Arabidopsis thaliana: one gene and its partners. The protein of the gene in region 1 interacts with the protein of each later gene in a pairwise test. Each region holds a gene or a part of one and is shown on either strand. Other genes may lie near its edges. The genes, in order: WIP1, AT4G23950, AT1G22882 and SUN1.

Evidence for each region.
Region 2: the proteins of WIP1 (region 1) and AT4G23950 interact in a protein complementation assay, tested with the Arabidopsis thaliana proteins (one study listed by BioGRID).
Region 3: the proteins of WIP1 (region 1) and AT1G22882 interact in a protein complementation assay, tested with the Arabidopsis thaliana proteins (one study listed by BioGRID).
Region 4: the proteins of WIP1 (region 1) and SUN1 interact in a protein complementation assay, tested with the Arabidopsis thaliana proteins (one study listed by BioGRID).

Annotation. Positions count from the first base shown.
Region 1 is NC_003075.7:13,361,883-13,369,712, forward strand, and holds WIP1 (WPP domain interacting protein 1), read left to right. Parts: upstream 1-3,400; 5' UTR 3,401-3,854; coding exon 3,855-4,737; intron 4,738-4,915; coding exon 4,916-5,502; 3' UTR 5,503-5,649; downstream 5,650-7,830. Other genes in the region: AT4G26450 (uncharacterized protein), read left to right, coding at 674-2,511, 2,592-2,745, 2,821-2,899, 2,983-3,038; LRE (lorelei), read right to left, coding at 5,763-6,127, 6,541-6,600, 6,675-6,747; AT4G26460 (S-adenosyl-L-methionine-dependent methyltransferases superfamily protein), read left to right, coding at 7,648-7,830. UniProt on the Arabidopsis thaliana protein: Mediates and enhances the nuclear envelope docking of RANGAP proteins mediated by WIT1 and WIT2 in the undifferentiated cells of root tips.
Region 2 is NC_003075.7:12,438,728-12,446,655, reverse strand, and holds AT4G23950 (Galactose-binding protein), read right to left. Parts: upstream 4,610-7,928; 5' UTR 4,360-4,609; coding exon 4,149-4,359; intron 4,004-4,148; coding exon 2,853-4,003; intron 2,779-2,852; coding exon 2,690-2,778; intron 2,564-2,689; coding exon 2,326-2,563; 3' UTR 2,109-2,325; downstream 1-2,108. Other genes in the region: AT4G23970 (uncharacterized protein), read left to right, coding at 976-1,278; AT4G23960 (F-box family protein), read right to left, coding at 997-1,234, 1,361-1,557, 1,748-1,891; FtsHi1 (FtsH extracellular protease family), read right to left, coding at 4,815-5,012, 5,084-5,333, 5,422-5,534, 5,627-5,985, 6,123-6,237, 6,411-6,606, 6,724-6,776, 6,857-6,985 and 2 more. UniProt on the Arabidopsis thaliana protein: Encodes a member of the mid-SUN subfamily of SUN-domain proteins. It is involved in early seed development and nuclear morphology. [TAIR].
Region 3 is NC_003070.9:8,094,444-8,103,170, reverse strand, and holds AT1G22882 (Galactose-binding protein), read right to left. Parts: upstream 4,780-8,727; 5' UTR 4,236-4,779; intron 4,056-4,235; 5' UTR 4,022-4,055; coding exon 3,868-4,021; intron 3,780-3,867; coding exon 1,951-3,779; 3' UTR 1,707-1,950; downstream 1-1,706. Other genes in the region: AT1G22890 (uncharacterized protein), read right to left, coding at 1-58, 215-320; AT1G22885 (uncharacterized protein), read right to left, coding at 1,038-1,141, 1,458-1,563; CEL5 (cellulase 5), read right to left, coding at 5,632-6,125, 6,195-6,306, 6,385-6,534, 6,622-7,125, 7,207-7,401.
Region 4 is NC_003076.8:1,468,966-1,477,054, forward strand, and holds SUN1 (SAD1/UNC-84 domain protein 1), read right to left. Parts: upstream 5,065-8,089; 5' UTR 4,806-5,064; coding exon 3,717-4,805; intron 3,060-3,716; coding exon 2,733-3,059; 3' UTR 2,516-2,732; downstream 1-2,515. Other genes in the region: AT5G04980 (DNAse I-like superfamily protein), read right to left, coding at 1-3, 111-219, 312-505, 598-1,171, 1,248-1,352, 1,489-1,576, 1,692-1,719; TOC34 (translocon at the outer envelope membrane of chloroplasts 34), read right to left, coding at 5,297-5,407, 5,504-5,665, 5,758-5,826, 5,918-6,182, 6,285-6,409, 6,511-6,618, 6,706-6,807.

The DNA of each region.
Region 1 (7,830 bases):
GCTGACGTGGCGTTTTCATGCTTTCCGTCTTTGTGCTAATAATATATGGTAGAAAAAACTTTTGAGACGCAAATAAAAATGCGAAAACCCCAAAATCGTAATCAGCAGCGATCGAGATTTTCGCCGCTGAAATCTGGAGACTGATTATTACAAACTTGTTCGTCGTGTTCTTCATCGGAGAGACACTAGATCGGAAAATTTAACCTCGATTTGATTGCCGTTGCCGTAACATTTGACTGTTGTTTTGTGGTGGGGAATTCTAGGGTTCTTGTTTGATGAAGAAGAACTGAAGTGAAAATGACCATTAAAATCTCCCATGAGATGATTGTGTCCGTTCATTCTTCGAAATCGGACAACGGAATCGAATGATCGTCATATTCTGTAAGAGAGAAGGTTAGATCTTCACCGAATCTGGAACTCGAGATCCATCGTTTTGTTCGATTTTCTATTCTTTCGCACAAGGATTGGTCTGAGAAGAACAAGTTCAAGTTAGAAGCTGTTGTGTTCTGTCCGGTGAAACTTATTTGAGCTGCTGCAAAAACTTCAAAAGTTGTTACTTTTTCTGAAATAACTTAAGCTTCTTGGTATTTTGAGACTAAATGGTTTCACTACTCTTGTGAATTCCTGGAAATCAGAACTGTTATTAGTTTTTTTTGTATATTTAGGGACAAAGATGCATGCTAGGCAACGCAATGTTGGGAATGGGTACAGATCTGGTTCTATTGGGATGGGTATGTCTGGTTCTAGAATTTCTCCTGAGCGTCCTATGAGAGGACATGGGTTCTATGGTTCTGAACACCAACACCGTGGCTTTAACCGTGGATATGGACGTGGAAGGGGACGCTCTAAATCATACCACAATCAGCTGCCTCCGCCTCTGCCTCCTCCACCGGTGCAGCGTAGAAGCAGTGGCGGTGACGTTTTCATGGAGGCAGGTCGTCTAGCAACAGAGTACTTGGTTTCTCAAGGTGTTCTACCACAAACTGTGCTTTCCAGTAAATGGCAGAATGGTAATTTTAGGAAGCAAGCTGGAGAGTTTCAGAGTTCCAGGTCTCAAGAAGAAGCCCGAATGGATGTTTCAGCTCCAGCTGCAGAGAAAAGGAGGTATATTGATGGCTATAGCTCAGCTGGATCCAGGAATAGCTTGAAAGGAAGGAGATCCCACCGTTATGACTCGGATTTTGGGAGGAGCGGATCTTGGTCAGAGAGAAGTAAAGCTTTTGAGACTGAGACTGGTGACGACTCTGTGTCTGGGCATCAAGAAGAGCAGCCGCTTGCTGAAGATATTGCTAGCTCGGTTCAGCGGTCAGCCTCTGGTGAATTTATGAGAAAATGTGAAGGAGCAGGTGATTCCGAGTCTGTGTTGGACAAGTACAATCTCCAGGATGAGGCACAGTCTAAGACAGGTTCCTCGAGTGCCGGGAAAGATATAGTACAGGATTGTGAAATCTCTAAAGTATCCGAAGGCTCTTCTAGCTTGAGTGCTGGATCAGGAGAGATGAAAGGTAGGTCTGGTGGTAATGGTGGAGAGGATGAGAACCAGACTGCTATCGAAGATGGATCTATCCATCAACGTTGTGAAGATGCATCTATTGATCAACAGTGTGGGGCTGATGAATCATTCACCAAGAGTGGTATTGATTTGGCAACGCTGTGTAAATTTGAGAAGGTGCCTACGAGGACACGCTCTTCTCTGACTGCAAAAGGCCCAAAGCTTTATTTGAGTCATAATATCAAGGATACCTCTCATAATTCTGGACTTGAAGAAGAAGATCAAACCGAAAATCGATGTGAGACTCGAGGCCAATCATCTGGAAAGGCCGATAGTACTGGTGATGAAAATGACCAAGTTGAAGATTTTGCTCTTGTTCAATATATTGAGAACAGTAAATGTCATAGGTCTAATTCTTTTCCCAGTAGCATTCTCAGGGATAACAGTGAGAAAGAATCAGGATTAGAATTGCCTAATCTGCACAGATCACATTCGGTGGGGAAAGTAGGTGAGAAAAGGCCTGGTGAAGGCAGTGACTTGGAGGAGGGATCAAAAAGACAGAGAGATTGGGTGGCAGTTTCTGAAGCTAATGAACGCTTCAACATGTTTAAAACAAGCGGAAACCAATGCGATCCGGAAGAAGAAGGAAAGACAAGCTCGTTCAACAAAAGACTGATTGACGGTGCTGCTGGAAAAAGGGTCAGCCATGAAAGTCTGGTTAATAACTCTACATACAATAGGACACACACTGGCAGAACAGGTCCAGGGTATGCTGAAGAACATCAGCTGTTTCCTGCTTCGTTTAAGATGTGTGACCTAAATCTAGGGGGAGCGTCGGATGTGAATGATGGGATAAAGGAATCTCGTCAAGCTGTTGATTTTGATCTCTCAATCAGCAGTTCTAGTAAGTCTCTCGAGTTTGGTACGAGTACTCGGATGAGCAATGGTAAAGAGATAGAAGTGATTAATTTGGATGATGATCAAGAAGTGGTAAAGTCCAGCAATGATCCAGGAAGAAAGTACGGCCAAGTCCTACTCTTAACACTTATATATACACACACCTATTACATTTTGGCTAATGGGTTTTCATATCTAACAGGCAAGAAGCTGCTCCATATATGGGCATCGATGACGTCCCAGACTACAATGAAAGACTCATGATGGTAGAGTATCTTGATTCCTTTACTCCAATAAACCAGGGAACCAGTAGTGTCCCACAGAATAACAACACAGTTAGCCTTCAAGACCGAGAGGTACCTACTCTACTTGTCAAGTTTTATGTCACATAGAATGTTTGTTGTTGCTAACAGATCCTGAAAACGTCTCAGGGAGCTATTGGAAATGACCAAGTACCAAATAATACAGACGATGATTCGATCTTCATGTCACTCGGAGAAATACCATTGAGTAAGACCAATATCAAATTCTTTCTCTTTTCTATTTTAGCTTCTTAAAGAGCTGAGATTCATTATGTCTTTGCAATTGTGCAGCATTCTTGCAAGCTTGGGACCAACCTCCAGCTCGAGGCTACGAGAAGCCTTTCTGATTCTCTTTTTTTTTGTTATGTTTCTTCAGTCTGTGTAATGAGTGTGTAGTAGCCCAATTTCGTTTGTGCTAATCTCAATCCTCTCAGATGATGTAAGAATGTGACTTGTGGTGTTTTATGGTTGTATGTACCCTTTGTAATTCTCTGTTTATTCTCACACTGTCCCCATGTTTTAGGTCAGTTCAACAATTTTCTGAAATTGTAATAACCAAAATGATAATTATTAACGGTATATATATGTCGTGTCCAATCTCACGGTCAAAAATGAAGAAGGTGATGCTGAGAGGTCAGGCGATTCCGACACGTGTTATATTCCAACCACCCACACGTAATTTTCAAAAAGGAACAAAATTGATCATGAGGGAAAAAAGAATAAACTTTTTCCCACAAAGAAACTTTCCACATTGAACGAGAGAATTATAGATCTGCGAATCCGATCATTGGATTAGGGTTTTCACTTTTCACCCTCCTTTTTCCATCTCTCTGCTGTATACCCTTCCTTTCTCCAAAAAGACCAAAACTTTGCGATTCAATTCGAAATCTGTGTTCTTCCATTGAGCTGGATTTTCATTTTTGGAATCATTTCTTCTCTTCTTTGATCCGATAGATGGTGGCATGGTAGGAAATTTTAGACCTTTATATTTCTATTTAACCGTCAAGGAACCAATGAATTTGTATAGCTTGTTGAGTTGACTTTTTGATTGTGTATGATCGAATTTGGGATCCTCATTTCGGGTTTTGGGTTATTGATCTGAGCTCCTGTTACTTCTGAAACCGATGTGAATTTGGTGGGGGATAGATTTTTTTGTGGAGTCAATGGATTTGGAGAGTGAAAGCTCTGCACTTGAGTCTGTTGATGATAATGTTTTGATTCAACAAAGTGCCAGCAACGTTTGTGATGATGGTAGGAGTTTGGATAACGGGTCTTGCTCTGATGAGAGTGTGAAACTGCTTTCGACTTCTAATTCTGTTGAACTCGGTAAACCTATGAGTTTTGATTCACCAGGTGATGGTGGTGGTGCTTATTCTCCGGTTTTGAAAGGACAAGGCTTGAGAAAATGGAGGAGGATTAGGAGAGATCTTGTTAAGGACACGTCTGCGAATATGGAGAATAGTAAAGCTCTGAAGAGAGGGTTGTCAGGTGTTGCTCATTCACATGGTAAACAGATGCAGTTTCAGTCACCGGAAGTTGAACAAGAGAGTCAGGGATCTGTTGGGTCTGTTAATATGTTGAAAAGTAGCGGTGATGGTTTTGATATACTTGGGAGTAGTGGTTACGATTCTAGGTTTGTGGCAGGGGTTGGTTTTTCAGCTGGTATGGATTTAGAGATAGATGATGATCGGAGTAGTAAGTCTTCCACGGTTGCAAGAGCTCCCAAGGTTATTAGGTATGAGAAGCCAATGATTAGTTCAGGTCAGGGAGGAAACATTCGTGTAGAGAATAGTAAGAAACATAGAGGAGAAAGTGTCGATTTCGAGAAGGAAAACTCTTATTCCAGCTTGGAATCTGACTCAAGAAAGCAGAGTGGAAGAATGATGGACTACAATGGTGAAAATGGGGAAACGTCAATGAGAAAAGATGATGCGGGAGGAGAAGGCGGAGAGTCGATAAACACGGACAATCGTTACTCAGATGAAATGGATCCATTAACAGAGGCCATCAACGGTTTCTTGGCCTTGCAAGATGCTCTTGAAAAAGGTAGCCATTCTGATTATTTTTTTGCTGCGGATTGTATCTAAACTTGCATTATTTTTACTGCTGTTACATAACTATTTCTTGTTATGAGCCTGCATTATCATGTTGGAATCAACTAATAACATCACATGAACAATGATTATGATGTTTAATGTGACTCTTTATGAAATTTCATTTGCAGAGGTTCAGCAATTCCAGGAGATCGGGAATGAACCAATGCCACAGCATCATGAACAAGTCAGCGAAGCAAATTCACCTCACCCCGAGATTGTAACCCTGGTAAACAATGTTGAACAACTGGAGAACATGCTAGAAGAAACAAGGTCCATGCTTGAGGTGAAAGAATCACACATCCGTGACCTTGAATCCACCACGAACCAAAGCAAACACTCGTGGGGAGGAACAGAGATTGTGGTTGAAGACATCTTCCGGCAGAAGATTGAGGCCGAGATTGAATATCTGATATATTCAAGATCTATCGATAACTTAAACAGTCAGATGAAGTTAATTGATGAACAAGAGTCATTGGCAGAAGAGCAAACCCATGAGACGCTGAATAAGCTAGGAAGAGTACAAACGAAGGCTGCAAATTTTACAAACAGAGCTCAAGACCTGCAAAACGATTGCATAGAAATCACCGGGACCATCAAGAAGAGAGCATGTAAGATCACTTCATACGTTCTTATACAGTTAGTATTGCTGTCAACAGTAGTTTTGTTGCTCCTGTCTCAATTGTTGCCGGAGCCAGATACTGTTGTACCCACATGACTTTTGATTTTTGATGTAAACTGAGTTTTGTTTTGGCTTTTGGCTTTTCTTGTTAACAATTCGGCTATAAGTTTTGCCTCTGGTAATAAAATTAATCAAGTAAGTCTCGCTTCTTCTTTTGTTTATTTTGGAGGTCAAGTATTCTTTACACTTGGACACTTGGTCAGTAACAGAACAATTTGATAATTCTATCTAGTTTGTTAGCTAATATGGTATCAAAATGTAATCACTCTTTGGCTCTTTCAATTTCCTTTGATTGATCAAGTCAACACTAACAAAGCAAAAACAGCGGTTGCAGCAGAGATCAACAGCGAGATAAAACGAGGAGTCGAATCAGCAGTTGAGGCGTTTAGGTTATGTGAATAGAGAGGTGGTAAAGGGCAAACAAGCCCATCTTTCCTTTCTCTGCACTCGTTAGCGAAAAGGCCAGTAGGGTAGTTTCCATAAATATTCATGTAGCTGAACATTGTCTGTGCACAATCACTATTCATGTCGTTGATCTGACTCACGTAAGGACATGCAAATTCTTTAAAAGCAGAGCAACATTCTTTGGCTGGAAACGCTGGACCTTTGCACCTCTTTGTCAAGACCTTGTAGTCCATATACTCAAAGTTCACTTCACATTCTGTTTCCAACCAAACAAAAAACAAGAGTTAGTGTCACACCACTTATATATACTTATCTATACACAAACTTGATACACTGATCCAATAATACAAATATTATATAAGAACACTAATGATACAATTTGATTTTAAATTAAAACCAAAGATGAAAAAGTTCTGAAACATAACCGAAATCTATAAATTAAACATCTCTAGCTTATAGACAGGACCAAAATTCATGTAAGAGTACAAATGTTCCTAGTTCCGACGTTACGTCATAATCCTCACCATACCAAGCTATATATCAATATATCATACATATCATAAATATGTACATGAGTCTATATTCACACATTGACGTAAACATAAAATGAAAAGCAGAAGTAAATTAACAAATCGGATTAACAAATTAAAAGGATGAGGATGCTTTTACTTTTCTTGGCATGACGAAGGTTCCTTCCACTAACCGAGGTTTGTGATTCAAACACACCATCTACAGAAAGCGACGACCCATTAGAAACAAATTAAAGATGGAGGGTGGAGAAGGAAGACAACAAAAAGACATACCCGATATGGAACTTGAAGAGGAGAGAGATACCAACAGTGCCATCAGAAAGAAGAATAATAATATCAGCTCCATGAAATTGTTGTTAAAGAAGCTTGTAACATTTTCAAAGAAGAATACATAAGGAAAAGAGTTATGGCGAAATTAATGTCTTACAAAAAATTTCAACGGTAGTCGTTTCAAAAACGCCAAATAATTAAATAACTAAAATATAAAATAACCATTCAATAATATATGTTTGTTTCGTAATTAAGAACCCCAAACATCTAGTAATTTTCAAAAGGCCCCTTAAATTTTGAGACCATAATATCTTCGTACTCTAAAACTGGCTTTGTATAAAGAATTAAAAGACTTATCTAAGACAAAGGTCTTTCCTAGCTACTAGAGTAGTAAGACCATAGATAATTGTTTGATATAAAGAGGATTATTATAACGATTTATGTATAAATTGACAAATTTAGCCTAAGGTCGATAGTGCAATAATGAAAATTTAAAGAGATTCTAAAATGAAATCTTTAAATTTTCGAATTCTCAAGTTAGAAGAAAAGGATGGATAGATTTCTGTGTACACCCGTGATTAACAAAGTCATGGATTTGATCAATACACTGAATTGAACCCATGGTCCCAAAATTAACTTCCAAAAAATGCAACAAATTAAAATGACTGATGACGAAAAAGTAAATATGACGACATTTACACACAAGAGTAACCCTACTTAGGTGCATGTGTGCGTGGTTTCTAAGTAGTGGGCAGTTTAGGTTAATTCATTTTGAAGAAAATAAGATAGTTTTAAGCTTCTCCACGAAGTACTTTCTCAAAATGCTTAAAGTTAATAATCAACCTGGTATTGGTAATGCAGACAGAGCACACGGTATTTAGATTGCTATTCTACTATATAAAGAGAGCTCATCCTTCTCATATATCTCAACATATACTTACTCAAACATATTCTATAAAAATTTCCCAAATTAAATATGCTAATTTACGCATTGGATTTTTTCATCCGATTTCCTCGAAAGGATGACTCACAGATCATGGAATTGTGTATAGGCACGGTTAACAACGGCACAAGTGACAAGACGGCGGACCAAATCAAGGCGACAATGGAAGCGGCTTACCGTGTATTATATAGGCATGCACCTTTACCTCGCAATATA
Region 2 (7,928 bases), 920 kb from region 1:
AATTATGGAATATTATCCCAGCACTAGTTAAAAATAACTTATCAGATGATCAGCTACCAGATTTTTCATTGCTGTTGGTCAAGTGTTTTGAAAATCTTAAAACAGAAATATAAAAGTTTTGAAAATGATAGAAATAGTAGAAGCCTATCCGTTTGGGTTTCAATTTAGGACATTTTCCACGGGAAAATATAATTCTGAGTGTTAAAGCAATAAAAACAATCCGAATATGAGAGGGACACTTTATCATATTCTTTTTTTCTAATCAAATATATTAATTTTTAAAAAATACTTAAATACAAAAAAAATTAATTAAATTATTAACTTATAAAATGTATTGTAAATTGAAAAGAAAGGGACCACATATTTTTTTATTAATTCAAGCAGCCGGATAAATAAAGTTTAGACATGGAAATGTTATTGGTCACTGATGTTGTAATTATTATATTATTAGTGAACTAATAATAATGGTTTTAGTAGGATAGATTATTGGACCGGCTAAAAAACAAATATTCCGGGATAAGTGGGATCTTTGTTCCTCACGTTTCCTCCAAATGATCGATGTTGACTTTCATTGACTTACTCTGTGAGATTCCCCTAGCCGTAGGATATTTGAGTACTCTTCTTAAGTCCGTCAGATTCGGAGGTTCCCAAATCGTGGAATACCATCATCCCGAATCTGGTGCAGTTACAGAAACGCCATTACATGAGTCAACAACTTTTGTTTTTCACTATTATTATTCATTGTTTAACAGTTTTATTTTGTATTGTTGGATAGGAAAAAACATTTGGCTAGCCAAGTTGTTGAAACTCGTCGCACAAGCAATTCGACTTATGTATTAGAAACATAACCTTGTCCTAAGATGAAAATATAGCTAGAAAATTACTATCAATATTCTAACCAATTCCGAATACGCAGTTTTGTTGTTCATTTTTTTGTTTCCTCTAGGGCGAGATTGATTCAAGACCATACACACTATGGATGAAAACAACTTCTTATTAATTCTCCACACCGTTTGTGGGGATGATGGAGGAGTGGTGGTGCACCATGAGCCATCGTCCATTATGAAGCTCAAAGACATTGGTGATGTTGAATTGACCTATGTGATGGAGCGCGATCGTGGAGACCCAAGCCACGCTGCTCAGAATCCGTGTCCTCGATTCAATGACATACGTTGGAAACCCTATCTCCCAGTTGTCGAAACAGAAGTCCCATCTTTGCATCACTGCGTCAAACCTAAAAACGAAGCAATACAAGTGATAAATCAATACGATGTTTAAAACGCTCTAAACATTGGAAGGAGCCACATTTCTAGAAAAATAAAAAGACAAAGATTATAGTAAAGGGTAGGTAAGTAAGTACCCGGTGAAGAGTTCACCAGAGCCGTTGAAGCACTTGACATAGTCAGAGTTGAGCCATAAACTAGTCATTCTGGGAAGTGACCTCGAATCGAGGATGCTAAAGAATTTATCATTCACAGTCATGACTTGTTTAGTAACTGCAAAGAACGCCTTCCACCCATTAACCGGAGTTCCACCATTTGTTTCCTCTGTAAATTCCTTTGTTGTAGAGAATGAAATGAAGGAAAACAATTGGATCAGCAAGACCAGTCTTAAGGCAATATCAATGAATTCTAAGAAACCTGAGAGTGCAAGAATAAATCTCATTTCTTCAAACCCTAAGAAGCACATTATTCCATAAAGCTACAACAACAACAAGACAGAATGGTTAAAGAGAGTCCAAAATTACTTGGAAATAAAGGGCTCTCCAGAGGACATCGTCATTCGCTGTCTTTCTCATGGAGGAACTCGTCATTGATAACTGGCAGAGACTTGAGTAATCTAAGTATCTGAGCGCGTAGCATGTAACCTCCGGAAACAATTGCTCGATCATCGACATTCCCGCCGCGTTATCATTACCGAACTTCGACACCACCATTTCCTAAACCCTTTTTTTGGTGGAGTCGAGAATAGTGAGAAAGAGGGCAAAGGATCAAGGGGATTGTTTTGTTTTGTGGTTCCTTAAAATTTAACCCTAAAAAACAAAACCGTTGTCTCTCTTGGAAATTGGGAAGAAATTCGTTTAATTCAGTTTCGGTTCGGTTTAGTTATTTTTGGTTTTCAATTTATTTGGTTTTCTAAGCACCGGGCAGATTACATTTACACCTATGGAAGTTGGAACATCAAACACTAAAGAAAATCAGTTGTCACTGATAGTTTGGGTCCAATATTATCAATGAAAGTTCTTTCTACTCCTAATCCTAGGGTTACAAACTTTAATAGCAAGGCACTGTTATAAAAAAAAAAACCTAAGCCTAACTCTGCTATCTAAGAGAGTAAATGAATGAAAATCATGATGCTGCTGCTTAGCAGTATCATGACCCAGCCACTATCCGGCCATAGTGATCGAGCTTTATCCGTAATAGACATCCCCAGAAATGCCCAGAGTCGTGTTGAGACTAACCGAATCGTTGCTAAGACCACGAAAAAGAGGCTTATCAATAGAACTCCCAGCTCTTTACTCTCTAGATTAGCTTGTTCTTTCACAATCTTCTCTACATCCAATCTGATATCAAGAAACAAGAAGAAATATGGGGTCAACTAAGAATACGTTTCAAGTCATGGGATAGCTCTCCGCTTGAGATTTCAAATCCTCTGTTTTCTCTATTTAGGAATAAAAAAGAGTACTGACCTCAATGCAGAGTTTCCTCTAGCCAATGATTCTACACGGGAAGCTACAAGAGTTTTCCATAGCTCTAGGTCTCTAAGTTCCTTTTCCTGCTCAAAGAATATCAAATTCATTGGTAGTTTCTTCAACGGACAAAGACTTAATCATAAGAAATTATTGAATTTACCATTTTCCCTTTCCATTCTGTGATCTCTCTGATGTCAGCTTTGCTTTTCTCCACAAGTACTAGGGTTTTCTTCATCTCCAAGCTAACCTCTGGTTGTTTGTCATTCATTTTCTTTACAGAATCCTCAAGAAGCGATAAATTCATCTCAATCAATTTCACTTTCTGCATCATCACTTTCAAAACGTTATGCTTCTCCTTGACTTCATACTTTTTGTCTCCTATGATATTAATCGTCTTCACAACATCATCTTTCTTCTTCTGAGCTTCAGTTTCTTTGCCAATCTGATCTGTCCTATTGCTTTTTATTTCCCCATCTTGTTTTTCATCTGCAGTTTTTAGTTCCACCATAGCTGGTTTACTGGGAGGAGTCTCTGATGGAACAAACAGATCTTCAAGCATTTGCTCAAGAGCATCAATGCCAAATACCTCCACAACACTCAGAGTACAGTAAAACTCAGACCCATAGTGACTAACTAAATTAAGTTTCAGATATCTCAACCATTTAGGTTCCGGGAGCCGGAATGACTGGATCTGCTTAACGTTTGCAGCCGCAAAACTCCCAGCAGGTGTCCACATATCACTAGGGAAACTCAGACTCCCTGACAAGCTAAACTCTTTGGGATTCGAAGAGTAATGCTCAAAATTTGCAATTCTCACCGTATCAACCAGTGTCTCCTCGGCGAGCTCAATCACAACATACTTATCTGACACTGAACAGGGATTTCTTAGATACTTATCATGATCTTTGCCAAGCACATTGCTAGCTCCTTTTGCTTCCTTGTTGTGATCCACAACTTTAGCACCCTTCATAGCAGAAGCGTAGTTATACCCATTTCCATCTGGTTCTAACCTATAACGAGTCCCATTATTCACAAGCTGTGATGAGCCATTAACTTTGAGACTCTTGTCTTCAAGATTGACATATCTAGGATCACGAGCTTCCAGAGTTTTCTTGCTTATTCTTCGTTCTGGCAACACAACTTTGCAGATCAACAAAGCGTTGTTCACAAGAACATGCTCATACACATCTTGTAACTGGCCTTTTCTCAGGAGACAAAAGTTGTTTTCTTTCTCAGTGGCCTGAGGGAAGACAGAACTCGTGGAATTCAGTGTCTTTGAGACTGATCCATCAGTGTAATTCCCAATTCTATCTACAAAATAAATTGATTTCTTCAGAGGAACACAATATAGCAATCTCTGGAATATACCCCCCAAGTTAAAAGACCCTAAATTTGTTTCCTTAATTAACATTTGAAATGATAACGGAATCTCTCTCAAACAAGGAAGAACACTTACCTGCATTACCATAATCATCATGGCTTTGGCCAAGCTTGGAGTAGACGAGGAAGAGGAAGCACCAGAGTAAGAGAACGAGAGAGATAGAACGCTCGAAGAAGCTGCCGCTTCTGGAATTAAAATTATCAGCCTTGTCGGAGATTCTGACAATTCGAAACCTTTGCAATTTTTCATTCAGGCATATCGTCGAACAGCTTCCGCGCCTCGCCATATCTATAAAGCAGAGAAGAGATCTATACTCGTGTGTGACATGCACAGATGGAGAGAGTCAAGAGAGATCGTTGGTTGTATGACTATGACCTGTATCTGTAGAAACCGAGAAGAGGGCACGAGGAACAAGAGCAAAAGAAGACGGATGAAGAAGAAGAAAAAAGGTAAGAAAGAGAGTGCATGACTCGTGTTGTTGCTGTCTTGTGTGGTTTGAAACAAAGAACCAAACTTTTTGTCCGTCGATTTCCTCGGAATTAAAACTTTTTTTGTTTCTAAATTTATACTTAAGTTTGTCTAATCTATTGTTAGCAAATCAAAGAAGTGTCTTTGACCCAAGTTTTTTTCTTTATTTCTGTAAATTTAACTGTCCGAAACTTCAGAGATTGAGTCGAAGTTACAATGACGGACAATGAATAAACCTAAGCTTAGTGATTTGATGTCTCTGGGACGCCGGAATCATACTTGAGCATTGACGTCGGTAGAGTGATTAACAAGGACAAAGTCGCCGGATTCACGCCGGAGATGTTCAGGGACAAAAGGAAGACTTCCCGGATTTTGCTCTTGTAAGAGAGAATTTAACGGAGTCTGAGGAGGGTAATGGTCAAGTATGAAGTCTATTGCTTCTCCACTTATCTCTTTCTGGTTCAATAGAACCTACACATGGGAAAATAAAAGTATGAACAAATCAAACGAAAACGCAATTGCGGTTAAATGTTTGAAATTACCTTAACGGTTTTGAGGAGAGCGGTTTGGTTTTGCCTGAGGAGAGAAACTGTTTTGTTATACATCTGGCTAATGAGTTCTTCGCTTCTATGTGCGACTTCATCATCCATGTTGAAGTTAACTGGCGGCTCGACGAGGTCATAGTCGTCATAGAGAGATCCTTCAAAGTCTAAGCGTGGTCCCACGAACTGAGGTCTCTTTCTCCATGGTGGTGGTTCGCCATGTATCACCATTGGGTTCTCCAGGTTCCATCTGAAATCCAAATATATATAAGTCTTGAGTAAGAAGAAGCTTTTACTTTAAAGGGGAATGTGAAAATATGCAAAATTGGGCCTCTCACATGGTTAAGATTTTACGAGCTAGCCATGAGGCGTCAGAGAGATAATCGACTGATGCCTTTGAAGTATCTGAACCGTAGATCACTTCTTCTGCAGCTCTTCCTCCGAGCAAGACCTGAAATAGAAATTTTAGAAGTATAATAAACTCGTAACATCGAATATTAGAGAAATGAGTGAAGAGTTTTTTTAATAGAGAAAAAGAAGCACCTGAAGACGATGAAGCAGTTGTGGAAGACGACCAAACATGTAGGACTCATCATCAAGCCGATGAAACACAACTTGAGACAGTGTCTGACCACGAGGAATGATAGAAACGCGATCGCACCGCTCAATCTTTGCATTCTCATACCGCAATAAAAGATGTGAAGTGATTGCCACTCCGACTTCAGTTGTGGCTCTACGACACTGACCTTGATGTCCCAATTCTAAACCAATACGTGTCGGACCAACAGTGAGTCGGTCCACAGCGTCGTCCATGTCTGATTGAAGAATCGAGTTATGCGTTTTCCTGACAGCTACAAGAGCAGCCTCTTGAACCAACTGTGCCAGTTTTGCTCCGGACCATCCTGTAATTGATATAAACAATTACTTTAATCAAAGTTTTATACAGGCCAATACGTTCAAACACATAAGTTGTCTATGGGAAAAGGTACACCATGAGCATAACAAATATTCTTTGCAACATCAATTGTAGATTTTATACCTGGTAAGTTACTTGCATAAGATGATAAGTCAACAGAATCCGACATCTTGACTTTGCTGGCATGAATCTTCAGAATATCCAATCTCCCTTTCGCATTAGGGGGACGGACTCTTATCTGATAAGAAGATTATTTTTAACGGTCTATCCGGTACTCTTAAGTCTACAAAATTAATGCAAGATAAATTCAAATGGCTTGCGATTGTCGTTTGGTTGTTTATTAATTCGAATAACTGCTATCAAAAATTTGAGAACAGAAGATTTAGTGTCTAGATTTTGTTAATCACAAACCTTTCGATCAAATCGACCTGGACGTAGAAGAGCAGGGTCTAACAAATCTCTGCGATTGGTGGCACCCAAGAAAATCACACCTTTGCCTGTGTCAAAACCATCAAGCTCGATGAGTAGCTGGTTCAATGTGGTTTCTCTTTCTTGTGTGGCCGCATTGTACAACTGGTCTGAGTTTTCCTTGAAAATCCCTTGACGTCTAACGAATACCAAAATATAAAGAGCGATATCAGTTAAACTCCGTCTCAAGTTGAAAAATTATGCAAGGAAGGTAGTATATCAAAATCTAGATACAAGGGACGAAAATATTGTATACCGAGTTGCTAAGGCATCAATTTCATCGATGAAAATAACGGATGGCTTGTTTACCTGCACAAGGACATAGACATCATCAAATACTATTTAACATCTCTGCACAGAAATGTATAAATACACATATGTCCAATCACCTTAGCTCTTTTAAACAGATCTCTGATACGAGCTGACCCAACTCCAACAAGAACTTCGACGAATTCAGATCCTGCCATTTGGTAGAACGGTACACCAGCTTCCCCCGCAATGGCTTTTGCAACGAGTGTCTACGAAAGCAAATCAGGTTAGGTTAGGCTCTATATTGCTAGCAACTGGGTTGTCAAAAGATCCTTGTAGATAAAGCTAATCGACTACAATAAGAGGTAAACTGATCATTGACAATTGTATAAAACATTGAGATTTTATAAGATCTCAATCGAGAATAGGAATCAATCATAACTTGTTAATAGCAACTAAACATTCAAAACTTTTTTAAGACAAATTTCAGGTTTAAGTTGAAGGAGTAGTGATGATATTGCCAAACACTCAGCATACTCTGAAATACAACCATCAACCTCAGCAGAATTGATCTCAACAGGCACCACTGCATGTTTGATTATCTATAGTATTTCTTAGTATTCTAAAGTATAATGCTGCTACAAAAATACTATTCAATACTTAACAATAAATCTTTTCGATTGGCATTAGCATAGATGGTTACACATACCTTGCCACAACCAGGGGGACCCTCCAGAAGAACTCCATGGGGAGGTTTAATTCCCATTTTATCAAACAGGTCGGGATTCTTCAAGTACTTTACAAGCTATCAAGAAAATGAGATAATCGTAATGAGACTAAGAGGTTAGTAAGCTTCAGATCCCGGTTTCTCTCGAGCTTCCAAGATTCAACGAAATAATGTCATGCAACTTTATACTTGATGGGGTAGCAGTGAAGCCCTAATGGTAAGGGTTTTAGAGGCTAAGCTAACCAAGAATGCACATAATAAAACAAGAGATCCATACTCAGGGAAGAACTGGCGCAAGCATACTAAAGTAATTGCACGAGAAATTTGGTCAAGCGATACCTCTTGAAGTTCATCAACTGCTTCATCAATCCCTGCAACATCAGCGAATTTAACACCGGTTGAACCCTGAAATATAATCATTGAAGTCATAAAAAACTCAACCAAAAAAGTATTAGAACTGAAGAAACATGCATATAGGAGTAATG
Region 3 (8,727 bases), on another chromosome or scaffold:
GAACGATGAGGAGGAGGAGGAGAGGGATGGGAAACGCAATCCAAACGCAAATTGTTACCTGCACCACATTGTATGATTAGTTTCTCCAAACAAAAAAAATCTATAAATATAATAACAAAGAAGGTGAATACAAATATAAGTTATATAACAATATGTATATAGACGAGACGAGACCTATATTATAAGCATGAAAATGAGTGTAAAAAATACTAACGTAGGTTGCGTTTGGCCTCGCCTAGTCCAACTTGTGAGGAGATAGATAGAAGCAGAAGAAACAAAGAGAGAAGAAGAGCAACTAAATTTGATGTTTTTGCAGCCATTTTGCTAATTTAGTGTTCTACTCTCTCTCAATTTCATAACAAAGACTAGCTTCAGGATGATTTATATAATAAAAGCTTCCTTGAAATGTAAAAGGCTAAAGGATAAGCATCGCTGAAATGTACTAGTCGCCAACTACATTTCTATTCAACGCGCCTTTAATTTTCCATACGAAAGTCTCTTGGCTCACGTCCTGTTCTGTTTAAATTTATTTCTTCCACCTACTTAGGTTGAATTTTAGACAACTATACAAACCATATAGGATATATATTTTTGTCATATAGCCAAATATTTATCTGTGAGTACAATTTTTTCGTGGTTTTGTCACAAATTGTTACGAAAACAATGACAGTGATTAAGTTCAATCCGTAGTCATCTCTGACCAGTACTAAAACACGACATAGTCATAACATTTCTTCGTGATTATGACAACTGATTTAGCCACAATTGTTTAAGGTTAATTGGCAACAGATTTATAACTTTCAACTGCAATGGTGATTTAGCCACTGAAAGTAGTGGAAAATTAGCTATGATAAATACATGGCCAAACCACTAGAACCGACAACATATATATATAACCAAATACCGTTAAAATATCTTAAAAAGTGATATGATCGAAAACGTAATTATATGAAATCACAATACAACATTAATCTCGAGTCTCTTGAGTCTTGACAATTATAGTTTCTTCTCCATCACTTGTCAAAAAGTACTTTGGCTTATGGACCTTTTCCTTTGCGCGATTTAGACGGCGGCAGATATATAGGGGCGGTGGGAGGGCGAGGGTAATCATAATCCACACGCTGTTCTTGTCCTTGACCTGCTTATTAACAATATATATGTCATTCACCATAAGCTTTTAACTATCTACATATGATTTCTTCTTCACATAAAACATAACTTTTAACTTTTCTTTAACATATGATTATATAATGAAACATGATCTAAAAACAATACATCTACAAATCCAGACAAAGATTTTTCATGAGGAAAAAACAGATTAATCTTCACAGTTTTACATAAGAAGAAAATGATGAAGATATAAAGATGAGAGACTGATAGAAAGTCATTGGATATGTAAGCTTCTTCTTTCAGAAAAACCAATATATAGGAAAGAAAAAGATCGAATATGTACTAACGTTTGTTGCGTGTGGCGTCGGCGACTCCAACTTGAAAGGATATCAATAAGAACAGAAGAAGCAAAGAGAGAAGAAAAACAACTAAATTTGATGCTTTTGTAGCCATTGCTTAAAATAAGTTGTCGATCAAAGTCTCCCACAAATTCAATATATAACGAAGACCAGCTCCTCTGTTATTTAAGAAAATGAAGCCTCGTTGAAAGTTGTAGTACTCACGGGTCCCTTGTACCCACTCACCTACTATATCCACTCAACGCACTTACTTTCACTTTTACTTACGTCCGCAAAAGAATTATGCCCATTTTTTTCAATTTTTCTATAGACTATATAAGAAGACTTCATTGTATCGAATACAATCTATGTTACAAATTAGGCATTAGATTATTGAGAAAATTGCTAAGTATATGTATGTGTGCCGGTTATTGAAAAACAAGGTATATTTCATCCATTGGTAACATGACTCTACAGTGTAAAAATAAGACCAAAACTCTCATCAAAGAGACAAAACGAACATAATGAATGTTGAGCTAATCAATAACAAGAGCCAAGCCCCACTACCGGTCTTCTCTGCTAGACCAGTTCCCATACCAATCACAACTGCAATAACCGCAATAATGCCAAACCCTAGACATACGGTGAAAACCGTTAAGCATTTCTTCTCCATCCACTCAAGTCTTTTACTTACTTGCTCAAGACTCTGTCTTATGTTTTCCTTCTCTTTCTCTGCTTTCTCCATCTCTGCCTCCACTCTCTTTCGCCACTCTTTCATCTCCTCTGCTTCACTCACCATCCCCTCTTGCCTTTCCTTCATACCTTCCAAGTCAAGTCTCAAAGCCACAATCGCCTTTTCTCTCACACCGGCTTCACGGTCCATCTCCTTGAATATGTTCCCGTATCTCAGGTTCAGTTCCTCTAAGTATCTCTCTAGAATCGATAGGTTCAAGTCCAATGACCTTAACTTCTGCATCAGTATCTTCAGTACTGTGTCCCCTGGCATTCTGCTCCCTGGCTGATGATGCCTCATCTCTTCCACGGGCTCTGACAGCTTATTACTACTCTTCGCCATTGATGCTTCAGTCTTCGCTAACATATTCTCTGGTGGGGCTTCCTTCTCTTTCTCTCTGTGCGTGCTCTTATCAGCACCATCATCGCCTTCAAGTGACTCTATTTGCTGCATTGGCTTCTCCTTATGCTCAGAATCTCCTTCTCGGGGTTTGTATGCATTTTTGTTGTCCTGGACAGATATCAAATCCTCCAGCATTCGTTCTACGGCATCCACACCGTAGACTTCTATTAAACTCAAGGTGCAGTAGAATTCTGAACCATAATGACTAATAAAGTTTAGCTTTAAGTATCTCACCCACTTTGGCTCAAGAAGTGTGAAGTTCTGCTCATGCTTCACGTTTGAAGCCGTGAAGTTTCCCATATGAACCCAGGTATCAGTGGGATAAACTAGGGTGCCTTGAAGCTCAAACTCTTTCAGATTGGAAGAGTAATGCTCAAAATTCGCGATCTTGATGGTATTTACCAAAGTTTCTTCTGAAAGTTCTACAACAACAAATTTACCTTCAGTAGAACAAGGATTTCTGAGGTACTTGTCATTGTCCCTGCTTAGGATGCTTGCAGCCCCCTTTGCTTCCTTGTTGGAAGACAAGACCTTTGCGCCTTTTGAAGCAGATGCATAATTGTACTCTTTCCCTCCAGGCTCCATCCTGTGAATCACACCACTGACCTGATCTGATAACGATTTGTTTCGAGAATTGGACGCTCTGCTCTTGAACTCATCAAGGCCAAGCGGAACCGCACGAGATGGTTGATCAACCTTTGAAACGTTGATCTCGGTACCATTCCCTAAAACTGTTTTGTTCATCTGATTTTGCTCCAAGAACTCATTGTCACTGCTTTCTGTATCATTCCCTGTGCCTGTCTTGTTCAATTGACTTTGCTTCAAAAAGTTATTATCGTCTTTGCCTTCTGTATCATTCCACGTACCTGTATTGTTAATCTCACTTTTCTTGGGAAAGTCATCATATTTGCTTCCTGCATCAATCCCTGTATCTTTCTTATTTATCTCACTTTGCTTCAAAAGGTAAGTGTCCTTGCTTTCAATATCATTCCCTGAAACTGTGCTACTGATCTCTGCTTCCTGTTCTTTGTCTTCACTTTCTTCAGACAGGTTTACATCATCATTCCGACTCAAATCAGACGTAACATCAACAGAAGCAGACGCTAAGGATAATGGTCCATCAAAGGGCACAACTTTCTCATCTGACTGACCATCATCCGGATCAGCCATTCCCATAGAGTCGTTCAAAGGCTCATCTACAAGTACACAAGAGTTGGTTCTTAACATGCTTTAAGGTAATAAAACGACAATGATGTCCACCAAAGAAAAGAACTTGAAGGTTACCTTTGGCACCATCTCCATGACTAATCAACAAGGTGGAAAAGAAGAGAAGAACCCAAAGGAGAAAAACAAGAGACAAAGAGACTTTGTAAAAGCTGTTCCTTCCATTAAACTTGTTCACAGAAACTCTTCTTCTAGTTCTACACGACCTTTGCATTGCACATCCACTAAACGATTACACAGGACACGCCCTGTTACCAGCAAATACACATTAGATGTCAAAGTTAATCAACTTATAGTATAAACCCAGAAAGACAAAGACTTTTAATAAACTCAAGCTGCAAATAAGGAATTTGAGTTCCAAGATCTGATTTTTTGGTGCGTGGATTACACAATAGACCGGAAAAGTGATCGGAGAAAGAAAGAATCACCTGAGAGAGAATCGAAGAAAGAAGATATGTGTGATCAGCAAACAACCCAGAAGAGGAGGAGGATTGGGTACGCTAACGTAGACGTCTCCGATGAGTCTCTAATGGATTGAATCTAGGCCAATGATTTTCCGGCGATATCTTTCGTCTCCGCATCACTAACGACGAAGCGTACACGGTTCACCAGTTTCGATGTTTCTGGGAATCTATATGAAGAAGAAGAATCACACGAGGTTTTTAACTGCGGCGGTGAAAGAAGAGTCAAAGAGACTTCAAATTGACAAAAATTTTGATTAGAGAGAGAGGCGAAGAAGAAGAAGAAGAAGATGGATTGGTCCAGGGTTTACAAATTTCGGCAATTTTATTGATTGATTGATTTTATTTTAGTTTAGGTTTATTCCTTTTTACGGAAAGTTACAATTTCCGAAATTTTGTGCTCTGTGTTTATCGTTTTCCATACATGTATGTTGAACTCGTAACTTTAATGGATTTCATAAAATTAATTAGAAGTGTTGATGAGTTAGTTATAACAACACAATTTAGAATTGGACAATGATGTTAAGCCTAGAGTTCTCTTTTGAGTTTTGGGTTACTATTTTGAAGCAAGTTTTGAAGACTAATAAAAAGGTCTATATATAAATATTTAAACAAAAAAGGTCTATAGAATGTCAACTTCTTAATAAAATTGTGAACTGATTATTGGGACTATATGCCTCGACAAAATAAAACACTTTAATTTCGGACAGGGAAAACGACAAAAAGGTAAGTGGAAAAAAGAGAAAGAAGGAAGATGATGAGCTGTGATTTGTGCGGCACGTTAACGTGAAAGCCAGCTTTCGATTGTGTTCCCTTCACAGCTGGCGATTTTCAATCCTTCTTCTTATACGTCGTTTTATACTTCAATATATTGTTTTATAATCTTTTCGGTTTAGTTAACTCATCTACTGGACAAAATCATTCTTCATCTTATTATATCATCGATGAACCAAATGAAAAAGTCTTCGTAGTGATTTATTTAGCCAATAATCCGAAAGTTACATATTCAGGAAACAACATTGTCACTGTGATGGTAGTTTTATTGGAAGCATGGCGTAAAACTCGCTATATAAGTTCGACCATTGCCAAGTTGATATTGATGGTGTCACTTAGTTTCGAATCATTAGTCGTCTCGAAAAAGGGTTAATTACACCACATAAGATTAATCCCTCTGTTCAGTTCCGTAACCACTTAAGAGCCAAAGATGGGCGTTTCTAATTAGTTCATTAATGATGGACCTAAAAGCCCATTAGAGTTTACATCTGAAATAGCCTTACCCATTACGCGGTAAGGGTTTTAGACTAACCGATTTATCTAACCAACTTTTCAAATCAAAGCAACCAACTTTAAAGTGAGTGGCGATTTACGGCGATCGGCTGGCGGCGAAATACGCCAATGGTCCGACGAATGCGGCGTTGATGTATGTAGCTGGCTCTGATCGGGTGTAATCGTCTCTCTGGTCTGGATACTCATCGTTTTGATTCGGTCCTCCGACAATTGCTCCGGTTAATATGTTAGGGTTAGGGTTTTGTGTTCTGAATGATTGGAATCCGCCGTTACAGCCCAGAGAATTGGAACGGACGGCTCGGCTCGGGAGAGAGGAACCTCTGTGATGGATTCTTTTGGGGAAATTGGAGCTGAATCCAACCATGTACGACATCTTCATTGGATTCACACCGAGGACGTAATCGACTTGTCGCTTCGATAGATTTATCAGTGCGTTGGGGACGATTAGTGAGTTTCCGCAGTTGAAAGTTTGTTTTGTGGATTTCATATATTTGGCGTAGGTGGTGAGCAAGAATGTTATTGATGTCACGTATTGTAGATTGCTCTGAGGTAGTTTGTACATCAGTCCACCTGAAAGTTATAGCTTTTAGTATTTGAGTAATTGAAATGCTTTTGGAGAGAACTCTGTGTTGAGTTTACCTTTAGTGTACTTTGTTGACGAGGATGGAGAATTTGGAAGGATCTTACACATGAAATTCTCAGCTGCTTGCTTGTAGAGTTCAAAGTTGTTGTCTTTGTTTAGTACTGCTCGCTGCGAAAGAAATGTGTTTGTAAATCATTGAAGGAAATGGTTAAGTTATGTCTAGGAATTTTAAGGATTGAGACATACTCGTGAGAGAAGAACATAGGCACCGGCGTATTTATTGTCCCAACTGAAGATGTCAGGCTGATCTCCTCCTCCTAAGGATTTTATGAAGTTTGTGTAATACGGGTCGTTGGTTGCTCTATGTAGCCATGCTGCTCCCCATAGTAGCTCGTCCTGATATCATAAGAGTAGTTAAGTTTTCAACGATTCATTGATATGTCTTTCTCAGTTTTGGAACAATGTAAACATATGAATCTCTACCTTGTAGCCAGAGTAGGAGCAGTAGAACGGACAGACGGAAGAGGAAAGGGAATTACTGTAAGCGCCTCGGTATTGAATGGCAAACTGCATGACCTTCTTTGCTGTCGCCAAGAGCAAGCGAGAGTACTTGGGATCTACTTTCCTGAAAACCATGGAGCTTGCAGCTAGAGCAGCAGCGGTTTCAGCGGCTACATCAGAGCCAGGGTTTGAGGGAGATACAGAGTAGACTGTGCGAGGAGTGTCCATATCTTCTGGTCGTTCCCAGCACTTGTGGTCACCATTAGGATCTCCTACTCCAACGTAAAGCTTCCCTGGTGTAGCCCTGGCACATTTCAGTAGATAATCCGTGGCCCAACGGATGGCCACACGGGAGTTCTGGAGCTCGGGTCCCATCTTCTTACCGTACTCCAAAGAGCTCCAGGAAAGCATGGTTGTGGTGAACGCCATCGGGAAATTGAACTTCACATTGTCCCCAGCATCATAGTAGCCTCCGGTCAAGTCCACCTGCAACTCATACCGTGTTATTCAGATGGATTTACTATGCTTTTACTACTTGACTATGGGTATACAGTTTTAGGGTCTTACGTGAGCAGATGAGCCATCAGAGAGGCCAGAGCTAGACCTCCATGAGAGTTGTTGGTCACTAGGGAGGCGACCAGACCGCTGACCTTGGAAAAAGAGTAATGACTTTGAGAGTGCTTCTCTGTAATTGGGACTTGCATAGGTATTCTCCAGTGAAAGCGCAGAGAGAAGGAACACAAAGAAGAAAGGAGAAGCCATTCTTGTTATTGTGTTGGCTTGAGGGTACGACTTTATCACACACGTATATATATAGCTAGAGAAGGAGACCGGGGCTGATGAGATTCAGAGCGAAGATTATGGCTTTTTGAAATTCAGCTTAACTGCTAAAAAAACTGTTCTTAGTTACTTCAATTTGAATTTCCTTTTTAATTAATATTTTATAGAACTGACAAGTGGAGGATTACATGTATTATTCTGTAATCTTCTTAATATGTTCAATTTTTTTTTAACTAATAGTTTGATTACCACATAGGTTTGTCTATATGAGTTCACCGACACAAATTGGTAATTTCTTGGTAGTTTTGATGTTTGATACTTATCTTTTTTACCACAGTAAACTGTAATGAAGTGTATTTTAGATAGTGGCATTGCGTAATACGTACGATTAGGGGATAGATAAACAATGTCTTAAATCTTGATAATAGGGTAGTTAGTTAGGTAGTATTTAGTTTAGTTAGGTTAGGGATTTTGGGGATTATGATTTAGAAAAAAGGAGGGTACGTAAATGGCGCCAAGATAACGGCGACGGGTCTATAGGAGGACTTCAATTTAAAAGAGTTTCTCAAGTCAAGTGTGATTAACACGTAAATGATTCCTTAATCTCTTTATTATTGTCTTATTGTATAATCTTTTACATTATATACATACAAATGAAAATATCGAACTCACTTTCTTATATATATACATATTCTTAAATAATAACAATGGTAAAATGAAGTTATTTGATTGGAAAACGTACAGGAATACCATCTCGTAGAAGATGAAATTGATCTTAATTAACACTTAACAATATCCATAATCTTCTTACTCTATCACGATTCACAAGTTAAGGCATGAAAAACTCAAGGGGTTTTGCATAAAAGACGGCTATAAAAAGTTTATAAGAAAACTGAGATTTAAAGTTAAGCAAACAAAACACACTTTCTCTCGTTCCACAACGAATCCCTACATAATATTTCTTGATTCTTGTAGCAAAATCTCGATCTGGGAGATTCACGTGTAATATGATAACATCAGGTTGATCCTTTTTTTCACCCCCTGCGAAGTCTTTGGTAAATACTAAAGGGAATAGTAATAACAAACATTTCATACCAAAAGAAAATCGTTCTTAGCTTTTTCATCATCAAAGGCCCAAACATATCGTTTAGTAACATATTTTCTAAAATGATATATGTTCTAAAAGAAATATGCTGGCTAATTTGGTTAATCACTAGGGACTAAGTACCTTAAGAACTCGAGGGATAAAAAAAGGGTACAAGCATTGAATTGATACATAAGAAGATTTCAAATCTCTTGCAAAACATG
Region 4 (8,089 bases), on another chromosome or scaffold:
GAGCTGTAATTCGTTTCAGAACCAATAAACCGGTTTAGCTTCTTTTTATTTGAGTTTGTGATCAACACTAAAACTTGATTTCTTGGGAGGAAAGGAACCGATTGTGAAACCTGATCTTTGTTGAGAAGAGTGTCCCAAGCGTTTTTATCCAAGAGGGTCTTTGTTTCTGAGTAACTCAAAGCTATTCTGTAGTTCAAATCTCCAAGCCATATGACCCGACTGATATTAAAATGCGGTAAGAAACCCCAAGATTAGCCAAGGCAGAAAATAGTATTTGTGTTAACGATGATATTTGTGTTCTTAAATCTTACTCGTGCTTTGTGATTCGATCAGGGACACGAGTAAAAGAGGTTCTGCATATTCTAGGGAAACTTGTGTTCTTGAGAATCTCGATCACATCTAAGTTTCTGCGGCGTTCGTCTCCTTCTCTCTCACCAGAAGCTAGATGACTGCAGATGAAGCAGAAGCTCGTCTTGTAGAGCTGCAAACTCACAGCTATGCATCCCTATGATGATGAAGAAGAAGAGAATATCAGAAACAGAGTTTTTTTTTTTACTTGTTATGGTTTTTAAGTATGAAAGTGGTAAAGTACTGTACCTTGTTTCCTAAGCAACCCATGATTCCGCGGGTGACGGAGGAGATTCTGAGATGAGAAACGTGTTGAATAAGTTCCTTTCTCATCCACACAGTAAGGAATATACCCACCATTTGCTTTGATGCTACTAAGCCATACTTCATCGTCATTTGGTTGCTTACAAGAGAAGCAACTTTTCCTCCTCCTTCATCCTCGTCTTCATCATCATCGTCATCATCTTCATCTTCTTCGTCATCAGAAAGTACACCGGATTGGTTAACTAGACCTTCAGGACATCTGAAACAAGATTCTCTCCCATACTTTCTTACAATATCTTCAGAGAAAGTGCTGCAGTTACAGATCTTCAGCTTTCTCCTGCACTCTGTTCTGAAACTCTCACTAATCTTCTTCAAAGAAGGTTTCGCAAAGAACATCGATCCAGCGCCAAAAGATGGAGTTTTTGGGCTAAGTCTTCCTCCAGAAGATGATGATGATTTGTTTAAGGATTGATTGATCATCGCTAACCATTTCGCAGCAGGCTCGTTGTCTCCAAGAACAAGGACATTTCCAGCATTCAATGGAACAATCTCCTGAAAACTATGAGACAAGATTAAATCGACAACCCTCAAGACACTAATCCAAGAAATACTCAAGACATTTTGAAATTGTGTACCCTAAAACGTATACATCGAATTCACTATGCACGTGAAGCAAAGCATCAAGATTAAGACCAGAGTGTGGAGATTTTCCTCCCACGTTCCATGTCGCCACAAAGACTCTTCATATAGTCACAAAACCAAAACATTAGAAATAAACATCTCTGTTTCGAGGGATAACTAAAAATAAGAGAAGAAATCAAGAATCTATACAGAGAAAAAAAACACAAACAAAGATGTATAACTATGGGTATATACCTTAAGGATTGGATTTGCTGAGTAGGCATTGAAGATCTGAGATTGCTTGAAGCTAAAAGAGATTCAACTACTATCTCGGATTGAGACCCTGCAAAATTTTTTTAAAAAGAGCCAAGAAATAGCTGCAATATATGAGACAGAGACGACAAAATTCTGAAGATAAACAGAGACACACATGTAGATATATACACAGAGGGACATACTATTAAATATATAGAGTGGATCCGACATGTTTTGTTCTAAGAGTTAAAGCGACTTTCTTTAGATGGTTCTCGTGGTATGAGGGAGAATTCAAGAGCTTTCTTCTTCAGATTTGGTCTTCGAACACTAAAGAATTAACAAACTGTAGCGGAAAGGAATTATTATTGTTTTTACCTTATGCAATGCTTCGGTCTTCTCTTCGTTTTTCTTATATTTTTTTTTTTTAAAAGAAGAGATCTTTATGAGTTTAGGAAGCAAAGATAAGAAAGAAGTAAAATAATTGAAAGAATATATTCTGAAAAAGTCTGAAATCAAGAACACTGTTCCCTTCCTTTGATACTTATATGCCCCTCTTGTTTCTTTGCTTTTTCATTTATACAAATCTTCTCTTCCTTTTCATCTTTTGTTTTATTTTTCTTTCTATTATGTGGTCTATAGATACTTAGATAGACATAGATTCCATTATATATATATGAATCCTTTGACCGAACTTTGATTACTTCAATCAGAAAGTAACGTTTTTCGTGCACATATATATGCGTGTGGTATACGTAGAGCCTAGAGCAGTCCAATAAAAGATCAACTTTAGTTTGTGGTCTTACAATAAAGTGTGTATCTTTTATTCAACGATTTTAAGAATAAAAACTAACTACTAGTTGATTCGGTATTATATAAAGAAACTATTTGATTCGGTAAACTTTTGAACTTGATGTGATTTAATTGAATAGGACGTTTGAACGTAGCTGTATATTTCTGCTAGAACAAAACCAATTTGGAGATATTCTTTTAAAATGATGTTATTATCATATCGAGACTAGAAGATAGGTAAGATGCGTTTTAAAGATTAACAGTATAAATTGGATTTCTTGATTTATGTATTCTGCAACCAAATAAACCAAAAGGTAACACAAAGAAGACATAATCAAATCAAACAACTCTCTACTAGTCTAATCACAGAATCTGATGCTTTCTTTTTCTTTCCATAAAAAACACAGGCAACAAAAGAGATGTGGATGAAGGAATGTTACAAAACAGAAGAGGTTTTATTCACTTTCAGGTGAAGAGTCCTGATCAAGATTCGTTCCCACAACAGGAACCGGGTCTGGCGCACGCCCATGAACCCTGAACCGGTAGATGCAAGTGTGCGAGTCGCTTCCGTGGTTCGAGGTGAAGTCTAGCCTGACAGTATCGATTAGACCAGAGCTTGATGACTCTAAGATGTTGAATGTTTGTGCGTTCGACCTGTCTAGGTCGTAAGTGAACTCTGTTAGAAGTTGCATGTTCTCTGTCTCCGCTGAGGATTCCGGTCCTTGCAGGGATCCTGATACACGGCAATCTTTTGGAGCACTCGATCTGTCGTAGGCTACACTCTGTTCATTTTCACAATGCATCAATCCATCAGGTCAGTGTACATATATAATCCCCAAAATAAGAATGACCCAAAAATGTCCAGAGACAGTAAGTAATGAGCGTATCCAAATGTCTTCTTTATTTCATTTTACTCGGTTATTGTCATTGAAATAACCCCAAACAAACAAAATAGTCTAGTTCCAGTCGTTGCAAATAGAAACAGAAGATAACCCAAAACCCTCAAAGGATCTATTTATGCATACTATTGAACTCTTTGACAAAGGTTTGAGATACTTCGATAGAGTGGTATTGTGTAATCAATTTCAAAAGATAATGCCAGAAAAAAACAGATCTTAAACAAACTCCTAAAGGTCAATGGCATATGGCACACACAGAATTGGAGAACTATGACGAGACCTACTGGATGATGACGAAACTTATTAAGTAACCATAATCCTCTTCAGTTCAGATCTTTTGCAGCAACCGATCTAAACTAATCTCAAGCCTCATTCAAACAATTTCATGCCATCAACAGTCACAAAGAAAATGGCGTCATTTTTTCCAGGCATCTCAATATCAAACCATTGTAAATGCAAACACCAAAGGTAGTAATAAGAGCACACAAGAAAGAAAACTGATACCAACACAAATAGTTTGCAGTACAAGAGTATCATTACCTTAGCTACATGCTCCAATGTGAAAGCCTCTGGTATGATTGGTCCTCTCAGCCTGATTTGCACATAGCCCTCGCTACCTTTCAGAGGAAAACATTGTCCAGGCTCACCGAAGCTCGGAGATAACATCTTAACCGCATTCGTATGAGCGCGCCGCATGGTAGTCGCAAACCAGCTACTCCCTTTACCAACAAGATAAGGATCTGAATGCTCCATCACAAAAGCACCACCAGAAGCCAATGCATAATCAACTCGGCCAAGGCCATCAGCAGCATGCTTTTCAATCTCTTTCTCCATAATATCACGAGCATAAGCCCTCAATTCATCAATGCTAATCTCACTAAAAGCAGAATCATCAACATTCCCCTTCTTCAGTTCCTCATAAATCCTCTCTAACTCATCTTTCGTCACCCAAGGTTTAGCATTTACTTCATCTACAGACTTCTCTAGTGACTCAGTTCTAGATTCTATCTTCTTCAACTCACTCTGAAATGCAGAAGCTTTCCTCTCGATTTCTTGCCTAAGCACTTTTGCTTCCCTCTCCATTTTCTTATCAAGCAATTCAACTTGAACCTGCATCGAATTCGTCGTAGCCTTAACAAGACCATCTACTTCCGCAATTCGGCTTTCCAATCCCGAAAACGCCATCTCCGTTTCATAAGAAGAAATCGGAGAGGACGGAGAAGAAGCCTTGAGAATCATCTTCCTCGTCAATTGAATTAACCCAACAATGATCAAAAGCGCACCAAGCTGCTTCGCAAATATCCTCACCACTGTCTTCCACCGCGCTTTCTCAGACTTAGGAGTCGCAACCTTCCGCGTCCGGCGCTGCGTAGCGGTGGTATTAGTCCCCGTCGCAGCGGAAACAGACCTTCTCGTCACAGGACCCAAATCTTGTCCCTGAGATCGATCAAGGGTAGCTTCACCGCGGCTCAGATCTCTACTCGTACCACCGGCTTCCCCAACACCACCGTTCGCAAGCGATTCGCTTTGAGGGTAATCAAAGTTTGATTTTTTCTCTCCGGCAAGAATCGGCGTCCGTCTAGTCGCTGCCGCCGTATTAGCGGTGATCGACACCGTTGATGCCGACATTTGATCTGGTTTGACTACACAATCGCACCCCTCGGATAAAAAACAAATCTTTACACTAATGTCGAAATCAGAACCCTAAATTCACTAGAGAGAGTTGGAAAATTCGAAAACTTTGTTCGAAATTGAGGAAAGAGTAAACGATCTTCTCTGAACCGTCTTCTCCGTTTGCCAAATTCCTCCTTTAAACATCGGTTTTTTTTTTCTTTAACTCAAATTTTTATTTTATTTCAAAACTTGCATCGCGTCAAAAATAACTGCAGCGGTTACTTTTACCATTAATGACAAAATGGAATTATCTCTTCTAATCATTTTCACCAAGAGAGTAGCTCTTAATTACGATTTACGAGAGGCTAAAGAAGATGTAATTAAGATGAGAGAACTTTGCGACAGTAATTATCTGTGAACCACATTTCTCGAGTTGTATCACAATTTCAACTACAGAACAATCTCTCAGATAGACAAACAAACCAAACAAAACTCGTGTCCACAACTCAAGACCTTCGACTTGCTAAACCGGAGTCTCGCAGCTCCCACGCCGGTTTACTCTCTCTCGAAACATCGGACTTGATTGCTCGAACCAATGGCTTCATCACCAGCAAGTACTGCATTTTCAAACCATCAAAAGATGAATAAATGATGCATGATGTTTTGATCAAGCCTTATTCTGTATTGTTACTGAATGGTTCAGAGGGGCTTACTTGGAATGCAAACATTAAAGGAATCAGTTTTTTTCCTCTTTCGTTTGGGTTTGGCCCTTCGACCAGTTTCTTGTCAACATGAATCGCCTTGTTGCCATTAAAAGAGATCTCTGTGATTTTGTTGAACAGATTGGGAATCCAACTAGTCCCGCATGGAAGAATCTGTCACAAATTTGGAAAATCCGACTTCAAGATTGGTCCAACTACTACAAGACGCGAGAAAAAGAGAACGTGGACAAAACCAATCAACTGACCTTTTCATCGCTTTCGTTCTTATGGCATCTTCCGCTGTTCTCAACAAGAATGACAGGAATAGAAAAACCCTACAATAAAAGATCAGAGGTAAGTGAGTCTATTAACTTGACTACTATCAAGGTCGTTACAGACATTTATGTAAGGAGGAAAAAACTATACCTGCAAATCCTGTTTCTTCAGTTGAGCGCCTGTCTGGATAACTTTTAGAAGAGCATTAGATCTTTTGGAGACAAAGTGGTTATAATTTAACCCGTCTGGTGGAGAGAACTGAGCATGGGTGAGAACAAGAGCAGACTTCTTCCATATCTCTTTACCAAATGCATCAGTTATAGCACCGACAACTTGCCTATCAAGGTCATCCACCCGGTACACATCCAAACGGTCTACGTATAGTAGCACATCTATAGTCATGTTGAGGAGAAATCTGTTCAAATTCAACATCCACGAATCCAAATTAATACAAATGCCACAAATGAGCCCCAAATTAGGAGAGTAACTCCTTAGACCTGGAAACAGTTCATCATACCGTTTTATAATGTTGATGGCTTGATCATTCACATATCCTCCCTCAATAAGACCAGGAGTGTCGATGATATTCAATGTAAATCCCGATCTTGTGCGAGAGACCAAGGTAGGCCTCAGTCCTTCAGACTATAAAGAGGGAAAATCACACACTTTCTATGAGAAAAATTAAAAGAAAGATAGCCAATAGTCATAAAGACAAGCCATGAGAAGAGCATTAAACTTGGCACCTGGAAAGTACTAACTGCAGCAGCTTTCTCGCCTATAACTGAATTCACAGTTGATGACTTTCCAACACCACCTTTCCCCATTACAAGGACCGTTAGCGAGCTCACATCCTACACCAGTTTTTTTTCTTTCTTAAATCTCTCTAAGACAAGAAGAAACAAACAGAAAGCAGATGAAGCTAGAAACAAGAAAGGAACCTCTTCTTTATACTTCCCAAGGATCTCGAGCAATTTAGATTGAGTAGCAGGTGGGAACTGCTGGATACCGATCCATTCACGAAGCGTTTGCAAAGCTGCCATGGACACAAATCCTTACCTACACTTCCAAGGAAAGCAAAAAAGGATCACAAAAGAGAAGACTAAATCATCTGCTAAGAAACTAAACAATCAGAAGACCAAAGAACAAAAATGAGTAATCGCCCATAAAAGAAAAAGTTGTCTGATTCCACTATCTGAATCAATCCTATAACTTTCTAGCAATTAAAGTCTCAGAAAATTAAAAAGAAGATAACTTTTTTTTACTAAGAACAAAAACCCTTAAAATCCATCTTCATTTGCCGTTGTCTCCATTAGTTTCTTTTTTCCAGATCTTTAAATGAAAATAATCTCATTGCTTTAGAAACGAACATGGCGCAAGTGGGCATACCAAAAACTAATAACTTAAGCACTAAACTAATCAAGTATTGAGAGATAATCAGAATCCTAAATCCTGAACTGGGGTCAAATGCCAATTTATCAAATGAGCATACTTCTAAGTGGACGAAGTGAAAACCAGATAAAGAAAGAAAACGAGAGAGAGAGTAACCTACCTGAGCTAGAGTTACTAGTGGCGGATATTCGTCGCCGGATTCGCTGACCTCGTATCAAATTAAAACCCTAGAACTGAAATTGACTTTTGAAGATGATTGATTGCTACAAATCTCAATACATGAAAGTACATTCCTTTCAAAATTCAACCGGACTAAACCGAATGTCGTCGGTCTGCACCAATGACGAATTTGCCCTTTTGGCATTTTTTCTTCCATTTACTGGGTTGGAAAGCCCAATAAGGAACTGAAACGGCCCAGATTACTTGTCCTTGTTTTGTGGATCGTCTTTTCTCTAACACACACACCAGGATTTAATCTGAGACTCGTTTCATCTTTTTTACTCGGCGAGCTTGTGAAGAAGAAACTGGTGATTTCATCTCCTTCGATCACTCCCAAGGTATCGTCTTGTTCTCTCGCTCTTCGCCTTCACTGATGGTGATGATTTTCGTTTTCCTTTGAATGAATGTTCTCTCTGGCTACATTTCTGTGGATCTCCATTATTAAGAATTTTCTCCTCCTTCTAAATTTCGCGATCCTGTTTCATGAATTTGATCCGCTTGTGTTGATTTTGATTCTACAGTTATGTTTTTCGATTATGAGCCTCTGATGCTCGTAGATCCGCTGGATCTGCGATGAATTCTTTTTATATTTTCGATTCGCTAGTCTAGTTTCGTTTGGATTCGTGTATTCGAGATCTCTTCCTCTATTACGTGATTTATGATCCTGAAGATCAAATCCCGTTTGTTTCTTCTGATCTCGCTCTAACTGGATTT